2 linked regions of the Sus scrofa genome follow. The protein of the gene in region 2 interacts with the protein of the main gene of each other region in a biochemical or structural test. Links are inferred from orthologs where the notes say so. Each region holds a gene or a part of one and is shown on either strand. Other genes may lie near its edges. The genes, in order: NSMCE1 and MAGEF1.

Evidence for each region.
Region 1: the proteins of MAGEF1 (region 2) and NSMCE1 form a complex in vitro, tested with the Homo sapiens proteins (2 studies listed by BioGRID). The link is inferred for Sus scrofa from reciprocal best matches to the Homo sapiens genes MAGEF1 and NSMCE1.

The regions. Positions count from the first base shown.
Region 1 is NC_010445.4:19,638,562-19,648,780, reverse strand, and holds part of NSMCE1 (non-structural maintenance of chromosomes element 1 homolog), read right to left. Parts: intron 6,842-10,219; coding exon 6,720-6,841; intron 5,721-6,719; coding exon 5,643-5,720; intron 3,867-5,642; coding exon 3,720-3,866; intron 628-3,719; coding exon 511-627; intron 1-510. UniProt on the Homo sapiens protein: RING-type zinc finger-containing E3 ubiquitin ligase that assembles with melanoma antigen protein (MAGE) to catalyze the direct transfer of ubiquitin from E2 ubiquitin-conjugating enzyme to a specific substrate.
Region 2 is NC_010455.5:122,596,713-122,606,800, reverse strand, and holds MAGEF1 (melanoma-associated antigen F1), read left to right. Parts: upstream 1-4,100; 5' UTR 4,101-4,348; coding exon 4,349-5,296; 3' UTR 5,297-5,817; downstream 5,818-10,088. UniProt on the Homo sapiens protein: Enhances ubiquitin ligase activity of RING-type zinc finger-containing E3 ubiquitin ligases. Proposed to act through recruitment and/or stabilization of the E2 ubiquitin-conjugating enzyme at the E3:substrate complex.

The sequences.
Region 1 (10,219 bases), on a different chromosome or scaffold from region 2:
GCGTGAGGACGGCTATAGCTTTTCAGCAGGCAGTTTGGCAACGCGGATCAGAAGCTTTAGACAAACCGCGTGCGTGCTCTGTCCCAGAAGCTCCACTCCCGGGCATTCAACCCCAGGAAACAACCGCCAGGTGCCCAAAAGGACGGACGTGAAAGAGGCTCATCCCAGGGCAGGTGACAACTGCCAAAGAGATGACGTTACAAAGAAGGAAATACAAACACCCAGCACTGGTCCAGCTGCGCTGCTCCGAAGCCCTACGAAATTCGCAGTGTAAAGAGAAGCTGGGAAAACCACGGCTGAGACAAAAAGATGTTCACCCCCCAACGGCCAGGATAACACGGGCCGCACGAAAGACCTCAGAGCGCCCTTCTGGAGGAGAACTTCAAAAGCCCTGAGACGAGGAGAGAGGAACCAGGCAGGAGATGCCCACCGCTGCCCACGTCGGAGGAGGTGGCAGCAGTGCCGGAGGCCTGGGCCCAGAAAGAGACTTCTAGAAGGTGCCCGCGGTACCTGGATGAGGAGGCCGTGGCAGATGTTGCAGACCTTCACGGCGTCGGGGTACACCTCCCGGATGTACTGCTCCATCTCCAGGATGGCGCGGCCGTGCAGGGTGAACTCCCCTTCCTTCTGCAGGGACACGGTAGGACACGGCATCTTTTAGGAAACTGGCACACCAGGCATGCCCTTTTCCCGCCCGGTGCCTCTGCTCCCACAGCCCGAGAAAAGCCCAGAAAGGGGCAGAGGCCTGTACACCCCTCACCCCACAGGCTTTTGCCAACCCAGCCAGCGGGCATCCACGCCGGCCCCTGGCAGAGCCTTGAGCAGGGAAACTTGGGAAAGACCTGAAAGGAAACCGAGGGGGGGACCCCAGACCCCTCATCATCTCAGCGCCGTACGTGCACCTCCTGGCATCACGGACCTTGTGCAGCAGACCCACACGCGAGGTCTGCCCCAGCCCTCCTACGGCAGGACAGAGGCCAGGAAAGGGAGGCAGTGACCCCTGGGGGCGAACTCCCAGCCCAGACCCAGGTGCCCCCTCCCTCCTCTTCTCCCCCGACCCCCAGCCCCCAGGAGCAGCACTGCAGGTGCCTCCCAGCACTCCTGCCTGGAGCCTCCGCAGGGGTGGTCTCTAATTACCTCTAGCCACGCCACTTTCGGGACCACGCTAGGGCGGGTCCAGGGAGGCCCCAGGCTGCATCGTGGTGGCGTGGGTGGCAGGGCCTCTCGGTTCCCACATCCAAACAGTCCCCAGGCCGTGTAACCCCCAAACCCTGAGAAAGCCAGGAAATACAGAAACCCTTGACTGCAGTGGCTGACCCCATGGCCACCTCACAGGGAAGAGGTAGGCTGAGAGCCACCCAGAGGCAGACAGGTGTCACAGGGGTCCGTGGAAGTTTATCCGTTGAAGTCAATGAATGGCATCCAAGCTCCAAGGGGCCACACCTTCTGAGGGTTCCCCGGTCCTGGGGCCTCCCCCCACTGACCCTGCCCAGCCCACACTCAGCTGAGCCGGGGCAGAGTCCTGTCCAGGGACTGGTGAGTCTCCCATTGTGGCCAATAAAGTCTGCACAGCACAGCTCCTGGGGAAAGTCTCATTCTGAGAGGCCGTGGTCCCTCTGATCAAGGTACTGCCCCAGGAAGGCAGGTCAGGGGACCGGCCAGCAGCCACCCCAAAGTCCCTCAGCTGTTCCTCCAGAGGGCCACAGGACTCACGGCAACCCCCAGGCTGACCATTCAGAGAGCACTCCGCCCTCACGAAGGAAACACCCGAAGCCGTCACTGTCCTCATCCTCCAGACAGGAAACGGCCCAGAGACCAGAAGCCACTGCCACGGGCAGCAGCAAAGCCAGAGCACCTGGGGGCCTGCCCACCGCATCCTCTGCTGCACCGGGCCTGTTCCTTCGTCCGCGAAAGGCCCGAGGGCTCAGCCAGCCAGGGGGCTCCCCTGAGGCCTGTGGGGCTGTGGGGGCCAGGGCTCAGCTCACAGAGCCTCCAGGCCACCGTCTCCCCCAAGGTCAGGGCCGCCCCTGGAGAAGGCGGCCCCAGCATCTCCATGTCACTGAGGAAGAAGCAGAGATGACAGGAGGCTGGGCCCGAGGGCAAGCCCAGCAGCCCCCAGAAGCACATTCTTTCCTTCCCTGGTCCCCTCTCTGGGCAGCAAAGGACAGCCTCCAGCCCTGCGCGGTGACGTGACAGCATCGTGCTGGATATGCACGACCGCCTGCAGGCCCCAAGCAGGGCACAGGGGGTGAGCTCGGTGGGCGGGGGGAGGATGACACGATGACACGTGTTCTCAGCAACGTGATCCCCCATCCAAACACCGCTTCTTCCCAATCTACAAGGATTTCCGGTGTCACTGCCTCGGTATGTTTTAGATACATTGCGTTCCTCTGGGATTCCATCCTCCCGCCCCGTTCAGGAAGCAGTTACCAGGGCCTCAGGAGCACTGAGGTGCAGCCACGAGGAGGGCGCAGGCCTGGCCCTCAGGGAGCTTGCCCGAGGACAGAGCGTGGGGTTGTGACCCGAGCTGCCCCAGAACGTTCCGTGTTGCCAAATCCACCCCAGAGAGGAAGGAAAACTGTGACAAAGCAATTGACAGGGACCTGCAGTCACCCGAGCTGGGGGCTGAGCATGGCCCTGCCACTTGCCGGCTGTGGGACTTCACCCAGATCATGGGGCTGCCGTGGTTCGGCCACGGAACAGAGCTAAGGGGCTCCGTGTCGTCACAGGGCGGCCGGGAGGACCTGAGGTGCAGACGTGCCCAGAGATGCTGGCACACCCCCCACCTGCCACCCCTGACCTGGCCGCTGTGGCCTCGCCAGACCTTTCCTCCCATCAGCAAAGTCCCTCAGGAACTGACTATTTCTGGTCAGGCTGCCGGGGTCCCCTCCACCAAGAGATCGACCACTCAGAGCACTGCTGTCACCACACCAGAGGGGACCTCTCCCCAGAAGGGAAGTGAAGCATGGCGTTACCACAGCAGCAGCCTCCAGCCTCGGGCCTGACCGCTGAGTGAGGAAGTCGAGGGCCCAGCTGAGCACGTCCCGCCCAGATGGGCAGCGGAGGGGCAGGGCTGTGGGACCCAGGGCGGCGCTAAGCACGTCCGGCTTGGGTTTCTTGGAAACGGGGGTGCGTTTGTGGAAAAAGAGCGGAGACATCTGACTGCTCCAGCTGACAGAACTAGACGCAGGGCGTCTAGAAGCTTGAACCTTTCCCGGCTCCCTCCAGCTCCTCGCCTCAAGGGCCGCCATCTAAGTGCAAGAACCCAAGAGCACGGGTCCAGAAGAGTGTGATGCTGCCATTGAGAACCGTGCCGTCACAGCGATTCCTGAGGGGCCAGCAGCAGGCACCTGACGCACCTGGAGTGGATGCCACCACTCCCCTCAGTAGACATGAGGACACGGGGGACACCCGCACCGGGATTTGGGCCCAGGGCTGGTGCTCACGCTGTACCCCTACCCAGCGTGCACACTGCCTCCAGCCCGTGGACCCGGGTCACAGGCCTGGCCACTTCCAGCTGGGGCACCCTGGACAAGGTCACAGGAGTGACCAGGAGGTTCCAGGCCTCCTCGCAGGGTCACTGTGGGCATCGAAGCAGATGAGGGGCCTGAAAGGGCCTGGCTCCACAGACACGCGTGGGATCCAGGGTGGTTGGGGAGGGAAGATGATGATTCCCTCCAAAAAGTGAGCCAAGCTGGAGAATCTGTGGGACCAGGTACCTCAATGAGCCATTTGTTTTGTACAAACTTCTGCAGCACTTGCTCGGCCTCCTTCTTCCTCATCTTCTTGCCTTTGAGCTGATCGACCAGGTTCAAGATATTTGTGGAAGACGCGAAGCCGCTTTCGGAGTCGATAATGAGTTCCAGCTAGAAGAAACAGCGGGTACCACGTTCATCTATTAAATCGGCAAAAATAACTTTGAAGCAATGATACCAACCCCGACAGGGGTGCAGTGAAATTACTCACATCTCAGGCAGAAATCTAGGAGCCTTCAGGAAAACAATAATATGCATCAAAAACCATAACACATTCAGTTTTGACTCCACAGTCACTCTTGTAACGCCATCCCAAGTGAAGAGTCTTATTTATTTTGTCTTTATTTTAGGGCTGCACCCACAGCATATGGAGAGTCCCAGGCTAGGGGTCAAGTCGGAGCTGTAGCTTCCGGCCCAGCCACAACCACAGCAATTCGGGATCCAAGCTGCATCTGCGACCTACACCACAGCTCACGGCAACGCCAGATCCTTAACCCACTGTGCCAGGCCAGGGATCGAACCCGTGTCCTCGTGGATACTAGTCAGATTCATTTCCACCGAGCCACAATGGGAACTCCCCAAATGAATGATCTTAATGCCTCCCCTTAAATCAAGAAGGGTCATTTCACCTCCCTGAAGATGGAGAAGCTGAGAGTGAAACGTGAGCAGACCACGAGGCTGGCCTAAGTGACAGGAAAGCAGAGCCGGTGGGGGGGGGCGCAGCAGGAGAGCACCCCTGGCGGCCTCAGAGGCATGGTGCCCATGGTGCCAGGCCGGGGGAGGCTGGCAGGCGGGCTGCCCTATGGCTTCTGCCCATAGCAGTGCAGAGCTGCTGGGAAGACAGGCTTTCTGCCCACACACCTGTCTGGCATCTTGGAGCCTGGTTCTCAACGCTGGCTGCTCGTCGTCCCCAGGGGAAGCTTAGAAAGGAATGACCCTATGACTCAGCCCTCGAAGCCTTGAAGCCCACAGACCTGGAGTTTTACCTCCCAGTTACTACATCGCACATCCGGACTCAGAACCCCGTCTTTAACCAGGTGCTCAGCCAGGTAAGCGACAAGGTGGCTCAGTGAACAGTGACAGGGCAGCGGCTCTCAATGTCGCCATGCAAGTGCATCACCCTGGAGGGACCTTCCCAGAATGCAGGTTCGGATTCAACAGTCTGGGTGGGGACTGGGATCCGGCCTTTCTCGAAAGCTCCCTCCAGGGTGATGCTGCAGCCAGTCCTGGACCACACGGCAGCACTAAGCAGTAACACCTGCTCACCTGCACCAAGCGCCCAGGAGGCCTGCTGCCGCTCAAACCCAGACCAGCTCTTCTTTCCTGAGCAGCCGTGGCGACCCCCCCCCCGCCCCCCAGCAATCAGCTGGCAACTGTGAATTCTGGGTGGGGTGCTTGGTGACATCCCCCTGCAGTGGGCTTTCTGAGACTTTTTTTTTTTTTTCCGCTTTTTAGGGCCGCAACCCGAAGTTCCCAGGCTAGGGTTCAAATTGGAGCTACAGCTGCTGGCCTACATCACAGCCGTAGCAATGCCAGATCTAGCCATGTCTGGGACCTACACCACAGCTCACAGCAATGCCAGATCCTTAACCTACTGAGCGAGGCCAGGGATTGAACCCACCACCTTGGTTCCTAGTTGGATTTGTTTCCACTGCGCCACGACAGGAACTCCCTGAGACCTTTCTTTTTTTTTAAAATATTTATTTCCCCAATACAATTTTTTCCCTACTGTACAGCATGGTGACCCAGTTGCACATACATGTAGCGCATTCTATTCTCGCACGTTTCCCTGAGATCTTTCTAAGATGATCGTTTCCGTCTCTGATGAAAGACACAAGTTTCCCAGAAGCAGCCTGGCCAATGGGCAATGGGAGTTAGTGTACTTACGGCCTTTCTAAACAGATCCAGCTCATTCTCTGCAAAATCTGAGGCCATTTTGGACACTGAAGTCGTGGCAAGGTTCACCTACAAAATAAGTCAGCATGCGGGTCAGGCCGTTCATTCACCAGTTGCCTCTCCCTCTGCCTCGCCAGTCACGGAGCTCCCGCGTCCAGGCGCAGCAGGCCACAGGGATGAGTATGTAACCTGTTTTATATCACAGGCTTACATCTTTAGCCCCATCAATATGCTGAATTTTCAGAGATTTTAAAACTCCCAAGGTTGTGCTGTATCTTCTAAACTCAGCTAACTTTGGGCGACTTGTCTGCGTGCTAACGGAGCTTCAAATGCATAAGGCGCTGAGAAGTCTGGCAGTAAAGAAATCTGATTTAAGGACCTAACCCAGCATTGCCATGTCATTTGACTCCATTATCTTTTCATCCAAAGAAGAGAGTTTGGGAAACTCCGGACTAGAGCCCCTTTCTGTGTGGGGCTGCTGGTAGGAGCCTGCTCTCTAGCTGGTAGGAGTCCTCTAGCCAAGGAGGGGGGCTGGTCGGCGCTTCCTCATCTATATTTCACCTCGTTCCCTAACTGGGAGGGAAAAATCTGGAACCACAAGAAGCTCCATATGGGTCTCCATCTTTAGGGCCCCCACACATTTTTCCTTCTCATAGCTTCTTTATCTCACTCCAAGTGAAAAGGCATTTTATTCCTGTAGCTCTAACGGCCCATTCATTTGGGGGTGACCTCTTGCCGAGAACCGGCAGCAAACACACTAAAACCAAATGCATGCTGCCCGGTTACAGGCAGGGGCTCCATGTGGGGCAGCGAAGCAAGCGCTGAGGTTGAGAGCTGGGCACGCGCTCCCATTACCCCAGACCCTGATGACAGCAGAGGACACTACAGATACCACAGACCACGGGGGCCGTGGGGAGCGGAGATGGGCCAGGACAGGGAGGCGGCTGGGCCCAGGGTTCTTCTCCCTCCAGGCCCTTGGTGAGGTGGGTACACTTCCCACTACAGAGGACACGGGGCTCCCGACCGCAGTCCCTCCTACTGCCACCAGGGGGCACTGTCCGCACTCACCAGCGCGTAGATGGGTCTCCCATCGTCTTCTGTGACTCCCTTCTTTATCTCAATGTACAAAGACTCCAGGACACTGTTAATGTTGTTGATGAAGTCCTCCAACTTCTCAACAGGAGCGTTGCCTGAAAACAAAGGCCAAAGAAAAGGAGGGTCGAGGGGGGCGCTCTCTCAAAAAATTGTAGCTTGACTCAATCACGCCATCCACCTGAACAGAGACGGCGAAGCCAGAAATGGGCGAAGGGAAGGCCCAGCCCCCCTGGGGAAGCGCCAAGGCCTGTGGCTTTTTTCTTCCTGAAGCAAAGACACGGAAGGAGCCGTGAAGAAAAAGGGCCGGGAAATGGTAGCTGAGCCCCACCAGCTCCACCACCACAGTTCCCTGCGGCCAGGTCACCATCCCGACTCAGCACCTCATCGCACGGCTGTGTGCTCGGAACCTGCTGTGGGCATCACCGCACGACCCCTCCCTAGACTAGAGGCTCTGTCTTCACGCACGCACCAGGGCTACCTCTAGCCTTCCTCCCTTTATTCGGCAATCAAACCTGCACTGCGCACTTACACGCCCCGGGCCTGTGTGCTGGGGGGCGGCTGCAACCATGAAGGATGACAACTGCAGGGTAAGAGCAGCAGCTCACACTGAGCACCGGCCCCAGGAAAGCCCGAATCTGAGCGCTTCTCACACAGTAATTTTTTTTTTTTGTTTTTTGGTCTTTTTGCCTTTTCTAGGGCTGCTCCCACGGCATATGTAGGTTCCCAGGCTAGGGGTCCAATCAGAGGTGTAGACACTGGCCTACACCAGAGCCACAGCAACACGGGATCCTTAACCCACTGAGCAAGGCCAGGGATCGAACCCACAACCTCAGGGTTCCTAGTCAGATTCATTAACCACTGCGCCACGATGGGAACTCCCTTACACAGTAATTTACCCATCCTGCCCACAGCCCCCCAGGCAGGCACAGGCAGCCTCCTGGTTCAGGGAAGAGGCCAAGACGCAGAGGGGGACTGAGCAGTGGGGAGCCCGCCAACACAGCCACCTGTGCTGCCCGACAACGGGACTCGAGCAAGCCAAGGGATGCGCACAAGGAAGCCCGCACCCCTCCCCAGGGCCATTGGCCCATCCGAGAGAGGACACCGACAGAGCCCGGGGAGGGGGAGGCCAAGCCAGCACTGCAGGGGGGCCGGGGTGGACGGACAGGGCCCTGGCAGGGGAAGGAAGGAAGGATGGCCGGGAGGGCCGATGAGGCTGCAGCAGGAAGCAGGAGCTGGATCGAGCAGGGCCCCGCAGGCTGGGGGAGCGTGTGGCCTTTCTCCTGTGGGCAGTGGGAGCCTTTTGAGTTGGAAGCAGAGGCGGAAGATGTCAGTCTTGTGTCTTAGAATTACCCTTCTGTACTATGACACTTTTTTAAACCAAGAGTATCTATTACTGTTTTTAGTTGTTAAAACAAGCAACGTCAAAAGATTTGTGCCTTAGAAAAATCACGCGAAGGAAAAAAAATCTTGTGTCTTAGAATTACCCTTCTGTACTATGACACTTTTTTAAACCAAGAGTATCTATTACTGTTTTTAGTTGTTAAAATAAACAACATCAAAAGATTTGTGCTTTAGAAAAATCACTTGAAGGAGAAAAAAAAACCCACAAGGGAGTTCCCGTTGTGGCTCAGAGGAAACAAATCCGTCTAGTATCCATGAGGATTCGGGTTCAATCCCTGGCCTTGCTCAGTGGGCTAAAGATTTGGCATTGCCATGAGCTGTGGTGTAGTTTGCAGATGTGGCTTGGGTCTGGCATTGCTGTGGCTGTGGTGTAGACTGGTGGCTCTAAGCTCCGATTTGACCCCTAGCCTGAGAACCTCCATATGCAGTGGGTGCGGCCCTAAAAAATAGCTTAAAAAAAAAAAAAAAAAGGCAAGAAAACAATGTAACATTTACGTTAAAACAAAATTAAAACCCAGGAAATAATACTGCAGGGGACAGGCGAGCAAGGCTACCCACCATCACTAGGAAGGGACTGGGTGAGGGGGCCAGCCCAGGGCATCTGAACTTAATCTGGTTGGCCTCTCAAGGAGAAGGGTACTTGTAAGCGCCTTGCCTACCTAAATATTATCAAAGTTTAGGAGTTCCCGCCGTGGCACAGCAGCAATGAATCCGACTAGGAACCATGAGGTTGCAGGTTTGATCCCTGGCCTGGTTCAGTGGGTTAAGGATCCGGCATTACTGTGACCTGTGGTGTAGGCTGCAGACGCAGCTTGTATTTGGCATTGCTGTGGCTGTGGTGTAGGCCAGCAGCAACAGCTCCGATTGTACCCCTTGCCTGGGAACCTCCATATGCCACGGGAGCGGCCCTAAAATGAGAGAAAGACCAAAAAAAAAATTATTAAAGTTTAAAAAAATAAAAAAGATCACACTGGTGGCAAATGGAGGTCACAGCTGTGTTATGGCAACAGCTGTGACACAGATACCGTGTCTACTGAGGAGGCCGAGAAAAGCTAATGACAAAGACCAGAACAGTAGTACTAATATGCAAATTATAGCAGGGATCTAATCTTTTATAAGTAAAGTTGCTTATGTTTTTTTTAAAAAAAGCAAATTTAAATTAAAAATGAGTAGTAGGAGTTCCCGTCGTGGCGCAGTGGTTGACGAATCCGACTAGGAACCATGAGGTTGCGGGTTCGGTCCCTGCCCTTGCTTAGTAGGTTAACGATCTGGCGTTGCCGTGAGCTGTGGTGTAGGTTGCAGACGCAGCTCGGATCCCACGTTGCAGTGGCTCTGGCATAGGCCGGTGGCTGCAGCTCCGATTCGACCCCTAGCCTGGGAACCTCCATATGCCTCGGGAGCGGCCCAAAGAAATAGCAAAAAAGACAAAAAAAAAAAAAAAAAAAAAAGAGTAGTAATAAACAGATGGTACACAGATGTGGCAAAAATCCCAACAGTGGGAGTTCCTGTCATGGCGCAGCGGAAATGAATCCGACTAGGAACCATGAGGTTGCGGGTTCAATCCCTGGCCTCCCTCCTTGGGTTGAGGATCTGGCGTTGCCATGAGCTGTGGTGTAGGTCGCAGGCATGGCTGCGGCTGTGGTGTAGGCTGGCAGCAACAGCTCCAATTAGACAGACCCCCTAGCCTGGGAACCTCCACATGCTGCAGGTGCAGCCTAAAAAGACAAAAAAAAAAAAAAAAAAAAATCCTAACAGTAACATGATGATAAAATCTAGCCACATCTGCTGAAAAACTGATCAGAGGAGTGAGAGAGGCTCTCCAAGAGCGCCCCCCAATGACCTCCCCCACCTCTGCCTCCCAGTTAGAAAGCAAGCCCAGAAGGTGTCCCTCCCGCCCTTGCACGAAGGGCTGTCAGGCTTCCTTCCTCCCCAGCCTGTCCAGGTCTGTGCCCTGAGCTTGCTGGAAACCCCTTTCCACCTGCCCCACACCCAATGAGAGGCTGGGAAACGCGGCCGCGGGGGCCCTCGGGCAGCGAAGAACCACCCCGCCTGTGACACAGGGGCAAGTCCCA
Region 2 (10,088 bases):
AAGATAGCTCTGGCTCCCCACCAAGGCATCCACTAGCCTTAGCTGGAGTGTCAGGACTTGACATTTCTTTATTTAATCTGTTTTGGCCAGACAGTTTTTTCAACCAGGAATGTGTGAGCTCATTCCAAAATGTCTGCATGAGAGGCCAGTCACACTCATTACTGAGAGTTTTCTACCATATCACTTAAAAAAAAAATTCTGTAATATTTTATATTTGTTACTTCATAGTAGAGCATTTTGAAAGTAGGCTTACATTTATAATCTTACTCGAACCTCAAAATAACTGTGGGGACTGGCAAAGCTAAGGTTGTAAGGCCTAAGGTTGAGGAAACGGCAGCTCAGAGAGGTTAAGTATGCTGTGCAAGGTCAGAGAACGAGTGAATGGGGAGGGAGAACCCAGAACTCAGGTCTTCTGACCTGGTTCGGTGCTTTGTTAGAGGACACACATTTTCTACACCCAGAATGCTAGACAGTTCCATGATAATTCATCCTTCAGTTCCACTTTTCCAGTATAACTCCCTTGTCCTTTTCCGTATACCAAACTGTACTAAGTACTATAGGCGTTCAAAGACTATAGTCTCGGCTACAAAGGACCATCCTTCAGGAAGGTTTCCAGCTAACAGTCACCAAGGTTTTGTTTTGCCATCCCCCCAACCCCCACCAAAGAGATATACATTTCCTCCCTTTCAGCAACTTAGGTAAGAATTGTTTTAAAATCTGCCTGCCCAGTATGAGGTCGGCACAATCAAAACTGGAAAATGACTGTCTAGGGCCCTTCCAGAACAAAACACTGTAGGATCTAGGGGTTGGTAAGTGGCAAGGCACATACCCCTCATCACCTCCTATACCTAAAGACCCATTCATTTAATTTTTTAAAAACTTTTTTACACGGTGACTATGGTTAGTAATACTGTATTATGTATTTGTTTGTTTGTTTTGTCCTTTTTTAGGGCCACACCCATGGCATCTGGAGGTTCCCAGGTCAGGGGTCCAATCAGAGCTGCAGCCGCCAGCCTACTCCAGCCTACAGCAGTGCCAGGTCCAAGCCGTGTCTGCGACCTACACCACAGTTCATGGCAATGCTGGATTCCTAACCCACTAAGCGAGGCCAGGGATCAAACCTGAAACCTCACGGTTCCTAGTCAGATTCATTTCCGCTGCACCACGGCGGGAACTCCTGTATTGCATATTTGAAAGTGGCAGAGAGAATAGATCTTAAAAGTTCTCATCACAAGAAAAAAGATCTTGTAACTATGGTGAAGGATGTTCACTAGACTTATTGTGGTGATCATTTCACAATATATATGAATACTGAATCATTACATTGTACCCCTGAACCTAATGTTATCTGTCAATTATGGCTCAATTTTAAAACTTTTTTATAACTTTTCAGAGAACATTTCCATCACCCCCAGAAAGTTCACGCATATCCCTTTCCAGTCAACCCCACTCCAGGCCTCCATTGTTCTCATTTCTGTCACCAACAATTAGCTCTGTCTTAGACATCAGATTAACTGGAATCATATTGTATATAATCTTTTGTATCTTTCTTCTTTCACTCAACATAATGTCAGCCAGACTCATCCATGTTGTATCAGTAATTTGTTCCTTTTTTTTTTTTCAGATGAATAGCATAACAAATTATTCATTCAGTTTTCAAAATCCAATCATATACTGCTAACTTGCCCCTCAAAAAATTCCTTCCATTCAATGTATCTCCTGCATGCTCCTCTCCACGTTCTATCTCCTCCATATCTCCTTGCCAATGCTTGAAGTGAGAAAGCTATGTAAGTAACCTAGTTTATCTCCAGCAATGCCCTTTTAGGCAGAAGTGGTTCTACCTTCAGGGGAAACTGATAACCAGGCATCCAGCGTGGTGGTCATGAGGACAATCTTCAGACTAGACAGATCTGGATCCTCCTTTCCGGTCTAGCACTTAACAGATGGGTGGTTGGTGATAGGTGATTTAACCTCTCTGACTGTTTTCCCATTTGTAAAAGGAGGATAATAATACCTTCCTAATGGGGATTTGCAAAGACTAAATTATGTTGTACATAAAATGTTTGGCATAATAGAAACTAATAATAGCCTCAAGCTAGACTATAATAAACATCCTCCTGCTTCATTCACACACTTTCAGTTTTTGTAAGTAATAAAGTATAAATGGGTATATATTTTCAGAAGTTTTTAAAAATGAAAAGTTCATAATTACATCTAGAAAAGCCTGTCAGATACTTACTTAAACAGTATTTCCTATGGGAAAAAAGTAAAGCTTTCCATTGTTTACTCAATGACAATTATATCCTGAGTGCCAACACTGAGGGGATCTTCGAAAGACTTAAGGACATAGCCCTACCTTTTAGGAGGTTTGGTTTGGGGGGGTAATAAGATAAGCACAAAAATAACTACAATATGAAGCAGAGTAAGACCAATAGAAATAATAATAAACATCTATTAATACAGTGGTTAGGAGCATGGTCTCTGGAGTCATGATTGCAAACAGTGGTTCAGTCATGTGCTGTTGGGGAAATTACCTAACCTCTTTGTGTGTTATTTCACTTGTAAAAGGGGGATAATAATACCACTTATCTAGCAGGGCTGTTATGAGAAGTAGATGAGTTAATACATGTAAAAAATGAGCACAGTAACAGCACATTACAAATATGCAAAAAAATAGCTAACAGTTATTGAACACTATATGCCAAACATTGTGTTAGTTTATATGCATTACTTCACATAATCTCTACAATGTTGTCTTGCATTATACCCATTTTACTGACAAGGCAACTGAGGGACAGGAAGTTTAGGTTAATTCGTCCAAGACTACATAGCTAGTAAATAGCAAATTTCATAGGACAGACATATCTATAAAACGAGGATAGTGCTAAGAGTACTTACTTTAATGAGAATTAAATAAATTAATATTGGAACGATGGTTAGAACAGAGCCTGGAGCACAATAAGGTGTATATGAGTGGGTGTTAAACAAATACAAATTTCTACGGTGATTCAGATATAGGAGTAAATAACTTCCATGCACAGAGACTAAGGAAGGCTTTGGAAAGGAGAAATTTAAGCTGATCCTAGAAATGAGGGGAAGGGTGAGAAGAGAAGCAGGGGAAGGGAAAGGAGGAGGAGAAGGGGAAGGAGGGAGGAGGAAGGGAGAGGGGAGACTGGGATGAAAGGAGGGAAAAGGGAGGGGGAAGGGAGGAAATGAGAGAAAAGGGAGAGGAGGAGTTGGAGAGGGAGGGAGAGAGGGAGGAGAGACACTAGGAGAAAGCTCAGAGTAGAGTAGGCAAAAAGAAAAAGTAATGGGAGTAGTTAAGTTTGATTACATTTTTTAAAAAACCTCCCCTTTCCTCCAATCTGTCACTATTTCTGCCAGCTATACTTCAATATATCGTTTATCATCTTCCTTTCACCCCTGTAGAATCTACTATCCTTACTCCCTCGTCATCCATTCTACGATATTTATGGAGTGCCTCTATGTGCCAGGCACTGATACACCAATGAACAAGATAGGCCACGTCTTAGTTCCTATTCTGCACTATGAAATAATACTCCAATACTTCAAGCTGGATTCCCAGTTTTTGGTCAGCCCTACTCCAATCCATTCTCTACACTGCCACCCAGAGAGACTGGAAAGATAACAGATCTGGTCTGGGCACTCCTTTGTTTAATCTTCCTGTTGCATATTCCCATCGTCCTCAGAAAAGATTTCAATCTGCCTAGCATCCTGTTCAAGGCCCTGCACCGTCCCGCACAGCCTTATCTCCCAGCCTTCATCTCCTTACATTCCGCATTTGAACCACAGTAAATTACTCAAAATCTTAGGTACACACACTTAGAATCAAGCGCCTGCTGAAAGGACGTGGCTAGAACTCCATCCTACTCCATTCTTGCACACTGAAACCTTGAGAAATTCCTGGTTATCCTCCTCCAGCTTTGCAGTCTTAAAAAGCTGCGCAAACTACACTCTTCCACAGCCCAAGCATCCCGGAAAGCCGGTGCGCACCTCCAACCCAGCGGTAGCCGGAAAAGGAGGGGCTTCGCCGGCCTCCGGGCCGCCATCTTGGCTGAGTTGGCCGGAAGTGTTACGGCGATCCAGCGGCGGGCGCGCACTGAGGCTGCGCGGCGGCGGCGGCGCAGGTCTTGAGCGCCGGCGGCGTTGCGGCGACCGTCCCGAGCCGTGTGCGGTACCGCCTAGCAGCCACAGAAACCCCTGTGTCATCTCTCCTAGTCCTACTCCAGGCGCCCCAGCCGCTGTCCAACCCTTCCGCCAGGGTTTGCGCAGCGGCTTGCACATCCCTCGGCCCGAGTACGCGCTTTGCACCTGCCTGCGCAAAAACATGTTGCAGAAACCCGAGAGCGGGGTTCTCCCCGTCCCTCAAGTCGAGGGGGAGATGGATGGCAGCCATGACGGTGAGACCCAGGCCCTGACCGTCTCGCAGGAGGAGGCCCCGAGCCCCCTCCTGCAAGAGAGCCCAGAGGAGGACCTTGACGCAGTAAAGGAGGAAGGGGCTGCGGAGCCCGCCCTCACCCCGAAAGGTGCGAGGGCCTTGGCAGCCAAAACTTTGGCCCGGCGCCGGGCTTGCCGCCGTCTGGATCGGACGGTGGCCGAGTTGGTGCAGTTTCTGCTGGTGAAGGACAAGAAGAAGAGTCCCATCACTCGCTCGGAGATGGTGAAGTATGTTATCGGAGACTTGAAGGATCTGTTCCCCGAGATCATCGCAAGGGCCGCAGAGCATCTGCGGTATGTCTTTGGTTTCGAGCTGAAACAGCTTGACCGCAAGCACCACACTTACATCCTGATGAACAAACTAAAACCTCCTGAGGATAAGGAGGAGGATCTGGGAGGAGATGGCCCCAGACTGGGTCTCTTAATGATGATCTTGGGCCTTATCTACATGAAAGGTAATAGCGCCAGGGAGGCACAGGTCTGGGAGATGCTGCGTCGGTTGGGGGTGCGTCCCTCAAAATATCACTTCCTCTTTGGGTACCCGAAGAGGCTTATTATGGAAGATTTCGTGCAGCTGAGATACCTCAATTACAGGCGTGTGCCTCACACCAACCCACCGGAATGTGAATTCTCTTGGGGTCCCCGAAGCAACCTGGAAACCAGCAAGATGAAAGTCCTGGGGTTCGTGGCCAAGCTCCATAAGAAAGAACCCCAACACTGGCCAGTGCTGTACCGTGAGGCCCTGGCAGACGAGGCTGACAGAGCCAGAGCTGAGGCCAGTATTAGGCCTAGGGCTAGGGCCAGAGCCAATGCTAGGGCCGGCAATCACCGCTGGTGAGGGCTATTGGAAGAGTGGCCAGCCGGAGGGGGGGGGGCTGAGGGGGTGGGTGGAGTTGGGCACAAAAACTACTGAGTCTAAGTAGAATAGGTGGGGGGAGGGTCGTGTTTTCTGTAGCGGTTGTATTTATGTAACTAGGATTTAGGTTTTGTATCTTGCTAAGTTTTGTTACATTTAATATACTGTTAAATTGATGTTTGTAAATGAGATTCGTATACTTTTTCCTGTAGGATTTTGTTGTAAAGTTTTGCTGGTTTTGTAAAATGAATTGAAAAACATTTTATTCTGTGATCTTGAACAAATGATGCAACAGTGAATGCTGTACTTAGGTAGTTTAAAGGAACTCAGCAGTATGATGATCTGGTACCAGAAAAAAAATAACTGATTAGTATCTAGCTTCGCAACACTTTTTTGTGTATTGTATAAAGAAAAAAGACTGACATGTAACTCTATTTGCTTAGTTATTATAGTATCTGGGGGGGGGAATGCAATAAATTAGAAGTATAACCTGGTATACTTAATATATGTTTGTTAAGTGTCTTTTGTGTAATGCACTGTTGGGGGTATTTGAGGATAGAGTGCTGAAAAAGATAAAGGTCCTACATTTCAGAACTGGACAGTAAATAAATAAACAGGAAATTACAGTGCAGTGAGTTGAAGACTACAGAAAGCCACCCAACCCAGCTGGGGGATTGGTTGAGGCTTGCCTGAGGTTCCCTTTAGTTGGACTTTGGTGTAGCAGTGGGAAGGGTGGAGAAGAGGGGAAGGAAAAGAAGAAGTTAGGGGGTGGGAAGCGGTTAAGATCATAGATGCTGATCAGTAACATGGGAAGACTTGATACATGGCAGATCTGGAAAACACCTTACTTGTCAGTGCTCTTGGCCCAAGGCAATTTATTACAGTGTGCAAATAATGATGGTGACAACTAGCATTTTGGTCTTCACTATCTCTCTTATCGCAACCTCTACAGGCTTCCCTCTTCTACCAGCACCCTCAGAGACCAAATATTATAACAATTCTGGAATAGTATGTCATATGGGTGGAGGGTACACCCACTATAGGGTTCCCCACTATCAAGAACTTCTACTTCAAGATTTCTCCTTTGGCACCAGGAAGCCCAGCACCCTCATCCATCTTTCTACTTGCTACTCACCACCTGCCATCTCCCATCTGGAGGAGAACTGCAAGGCATCTTTCACATCCTTATCTACCCACGAAGAATCATTTACAAAAGCAGCCTAAGCCTCTGCAGTGCCTCCACCTTCACTCTGGGATAAGTCCTGTAATTCTGGGTTCACAAAGTAAGGAACCTAGAGGAAGTGGTAACCAAACCAGAGGTTGATGTAGGGAAGACTGTGAAACTGTCCCCCTACAGACACCATATTCAGAAGGGCCACTTCTCTTTACTGCTGTTTGGTTTTTTGTTTTTCTGTTTTTTTTTTTTTTTCCTGCTTTCAGTTCTGTGTAAATAACACTTCTGAGTATGTTAAGGTTAGCATGGAATACAGATACTTTGGGACACAGACCCAGGGATCCAGCAAATCATACTGAAACCAAGAGTCATGAGCTTACGGGTAAAAAAAGTTTACTAGTGATTAAAAATATGACTTCTGGGCAGCTTATGATTCATTAAACAAAAATACTGAGTGCCCACTATATGCCAAAGACTACTGGATTCCAGAGATTAAAATGGGAAAACTGGCTTTACCCTCAAGGAGCAATAGCATTAATTTCTCACATTTGTATTTTCCCACAGCTGCTGAGAGCTCAGCAGTGTGTGCACCCAAGGGTCTGATTACTTGGTGATTTGCCTCTGATCACTTGGCAAAAGAAGCACCAAGCCTGGAACCCAAGTCCCTTGTCTCCCAGTGTGTTTCATTCTAGTCCATTGCTCCCTGTGTCTGACTTCCAATATATTGTATGTGATTTTATTGATCACCATTCCAAAAATCAAGTGAGGCATGTATAATTATCTCCAGTTGTCACTGCAGTCCTTATGGGAGGGAGCAGAGTAGAAATACTCCTCATTTCACTGGCAGCAGAGGTGACTTTGCCGAAGGTCACACATGTAGTTTGTGGCAAGCCAGGACTAACAACTACCATTTTTCAACATCTGCTATGGGCCCTACTTTTCATAACCATATTGAAAGAGGGTATTACAAAATACCTCCATTATATAGATATTAATACTTGCCATTTATCCAATACCTAATGTGAGCCAGCTCCTTCATGTCTTAACATATGTTTTAATGACTTTTACAACAATCTAACAGGATAGATATTATCTGTTCCATTTTGAACTATGCAAACAAACTCAGAGAAGCCATAAAGTTCTCATAGATAGTGTGTGACAAAAGGATTGGAACTGAAATCTGAGTCAAAACCCCACACTTTTCACTATTTTACATTTCCTTCTTCTTGGGAATCCTTTCAGACTTGGGGACTCATGTTCTTTCTTCTAAACATGGCTGTCTCTCTGGAGATACAAATAAGGGTGTGTAACCAAGGTAATTGTGACAAGACATTGGCCTGTAGGAGGGTAGAAAGGAGGCTAAAATAAAGTTGGAAAATTATCTGTGAACATCGGTCCTGGCTCTGCTTACCCTCACTGTTCTCAGAATGCTGACTACATGTAAAATGTGTAATTTTGCTCAAAGTCAGCATGTTTTGCCTTTTAGGCCATGTTTCCTCAGTCTTCATTAGTCTGCTCTCTCCGCTAAGCCTTGACTTAGTCTTTCATGCCATGAAACAATCAAATAACATTTGTGGACCTGCAAATAGGATTCCCAGCATTATTTCCAGATGTTACAAAGGGCTGGCAGAACTCAGACCCTTGCCTCAGGATGAAAGACCTCCCATGTCACAGATGTCATCATCAACTTCTCAGAAGTTGTCTTTTGAGGGCTGCACCCAAGGCATATGGAGGTTCCCAGGGTAGGGGTGCAATCGGAGCTGTAGCTGCTGGCCTGCACCACAGCCCAGCAATGCAGGATCTGAGCCGAGTCTGCGACCTACACCACAGCTCATGACAACACCGGATCCTTAACCCACTGAGCAAGGCCAGGGATCAAACCCGCGTCCTCATTAATATTGGTCAGGTTCGTTAACCACTGAGACACGACAGGAACTCCTCTCAGAAATATTTAAAGTGTGGCCTCTGGGCCTGTGTGTAGAGCAGACCTTGGCCATGTTAAGGACAAGAGATGCATCCTCCTGCTGCTTATGGTCATTCACATAAGGGAGAGGGAAGGCCTGGATCGCTGGCTGCTTTCCCCTTCAGGCATAAACATAATGAGATCTTCCTGGGTGAAATACCGTGTGGGTGGGAGAGCAGAGAGATGTTGTTGGGGCAGATGGATTTTTCCAAATCATGCTTATTATACCACAACTAGAAAGCAAAGCCAGTGAACGAAATTCCCTTGAAAACTACAAATCATGCCTTAGACAATGAGAAGGTCTTAGTTCAGTCACAGACTCTGTAGGGATCTTGACATCCAGGAGTCGGGACTTTCGACCCACTGAAATGTGGAGAATGGGTGTTTGGCAATGGGCTCAGGGTGATTACAGCCCCAACAACTAGCAGGTACATGATGCTCCAAAGGTGGCAGCTCATTTGCCTGCAGCCCCTGCAAATCAGGCCTCAATTCACAGGCTCAATCACAGTTTCCACTTGAGATAATTGGGCTTCATGCCTTGGTCGTGGTGGCAATTGATGCTAGTGCAAATTATTCCTCAAATTTTGCAGCCCAGCAGAGATGGCAACAATTACCTCCCAGCAGAACTATAGTATACTAACTAAAGAGGTTAGGTATTCCAGAAAGTATCCCAATCAAGGCCTTTTAAAAGTCATGACTATGTGACCTTGAACAAGGCATTCCAAACTCTGAGGACTGAAGCTCTAGGAAAGCTTAGTGGGTGATGGGAGTTAGTGGTTAGCTAGAGTCCATACCCACAACCCATCCTACCAGCTGATTGCTGACTCTGCCCAGTTCCCAGGTTAGTCATGACTGATAACAATAGCAGCCAACAATTATTAAGCCTTATGTGACAGGCATGGTACTAAGTATGATAACCAAATCGTCCCATGTGTCTACACAATAGCCCCATGAGGCAGGTGCTACGTTTGCCAACATTAACAATACTGTAGGCAGGAGTTCCCATTGTGGTGCAGTGGAAACGAATCTGACTAGGAACCATGAGGTTGCGGGTTCGATCCCTGGCCTTGCTCAGTGGGTTAAGGATCTGGCATTGCCATGAGCTGTGGTGTAGGTCACAGACACGGCTCGGATCTGGCATTGCTGTGGCTCTGGCGTAGGCCAGCAGCAGCAGCTCTGATTAGAACCCTAGCCTGGGAACCTCCATGTGTTGCAGGTACAGCCCTAAAAAGACAAAAGACAAAAACAAACAAATGAAACAATACTGTAGGCAAACCACAAGGAAAAAATAATTCCTTCCATTCTGTCAGTACACATGTTAAATGACTTGCCCAAGGTCATAACATAGCTAGTGAGCCGCAGGTCTAGAACTTGAACATAAATCTCCTGGGTTCTTGCTGTTATCCCACTCTGCTGGTTAGTAGAAGGTTCTCAGGGAGGAGCCAACCTTCCTTTGGGAAAATGGGGCTGAAGGAGAAGGAAAGAAAACCTCTGGGCTTTCTCATTTATACCATAACCTAGAACACTCAGGCTAGAACCAGAGAGTAGGCAGTGAGGTGGGGGAGGAGCCAGCTGGCTTCTCTGATTGCAGGTTTGGGCCTTTTGTCACCAGAAGGGACCTGAATTAGGAGAGGAGT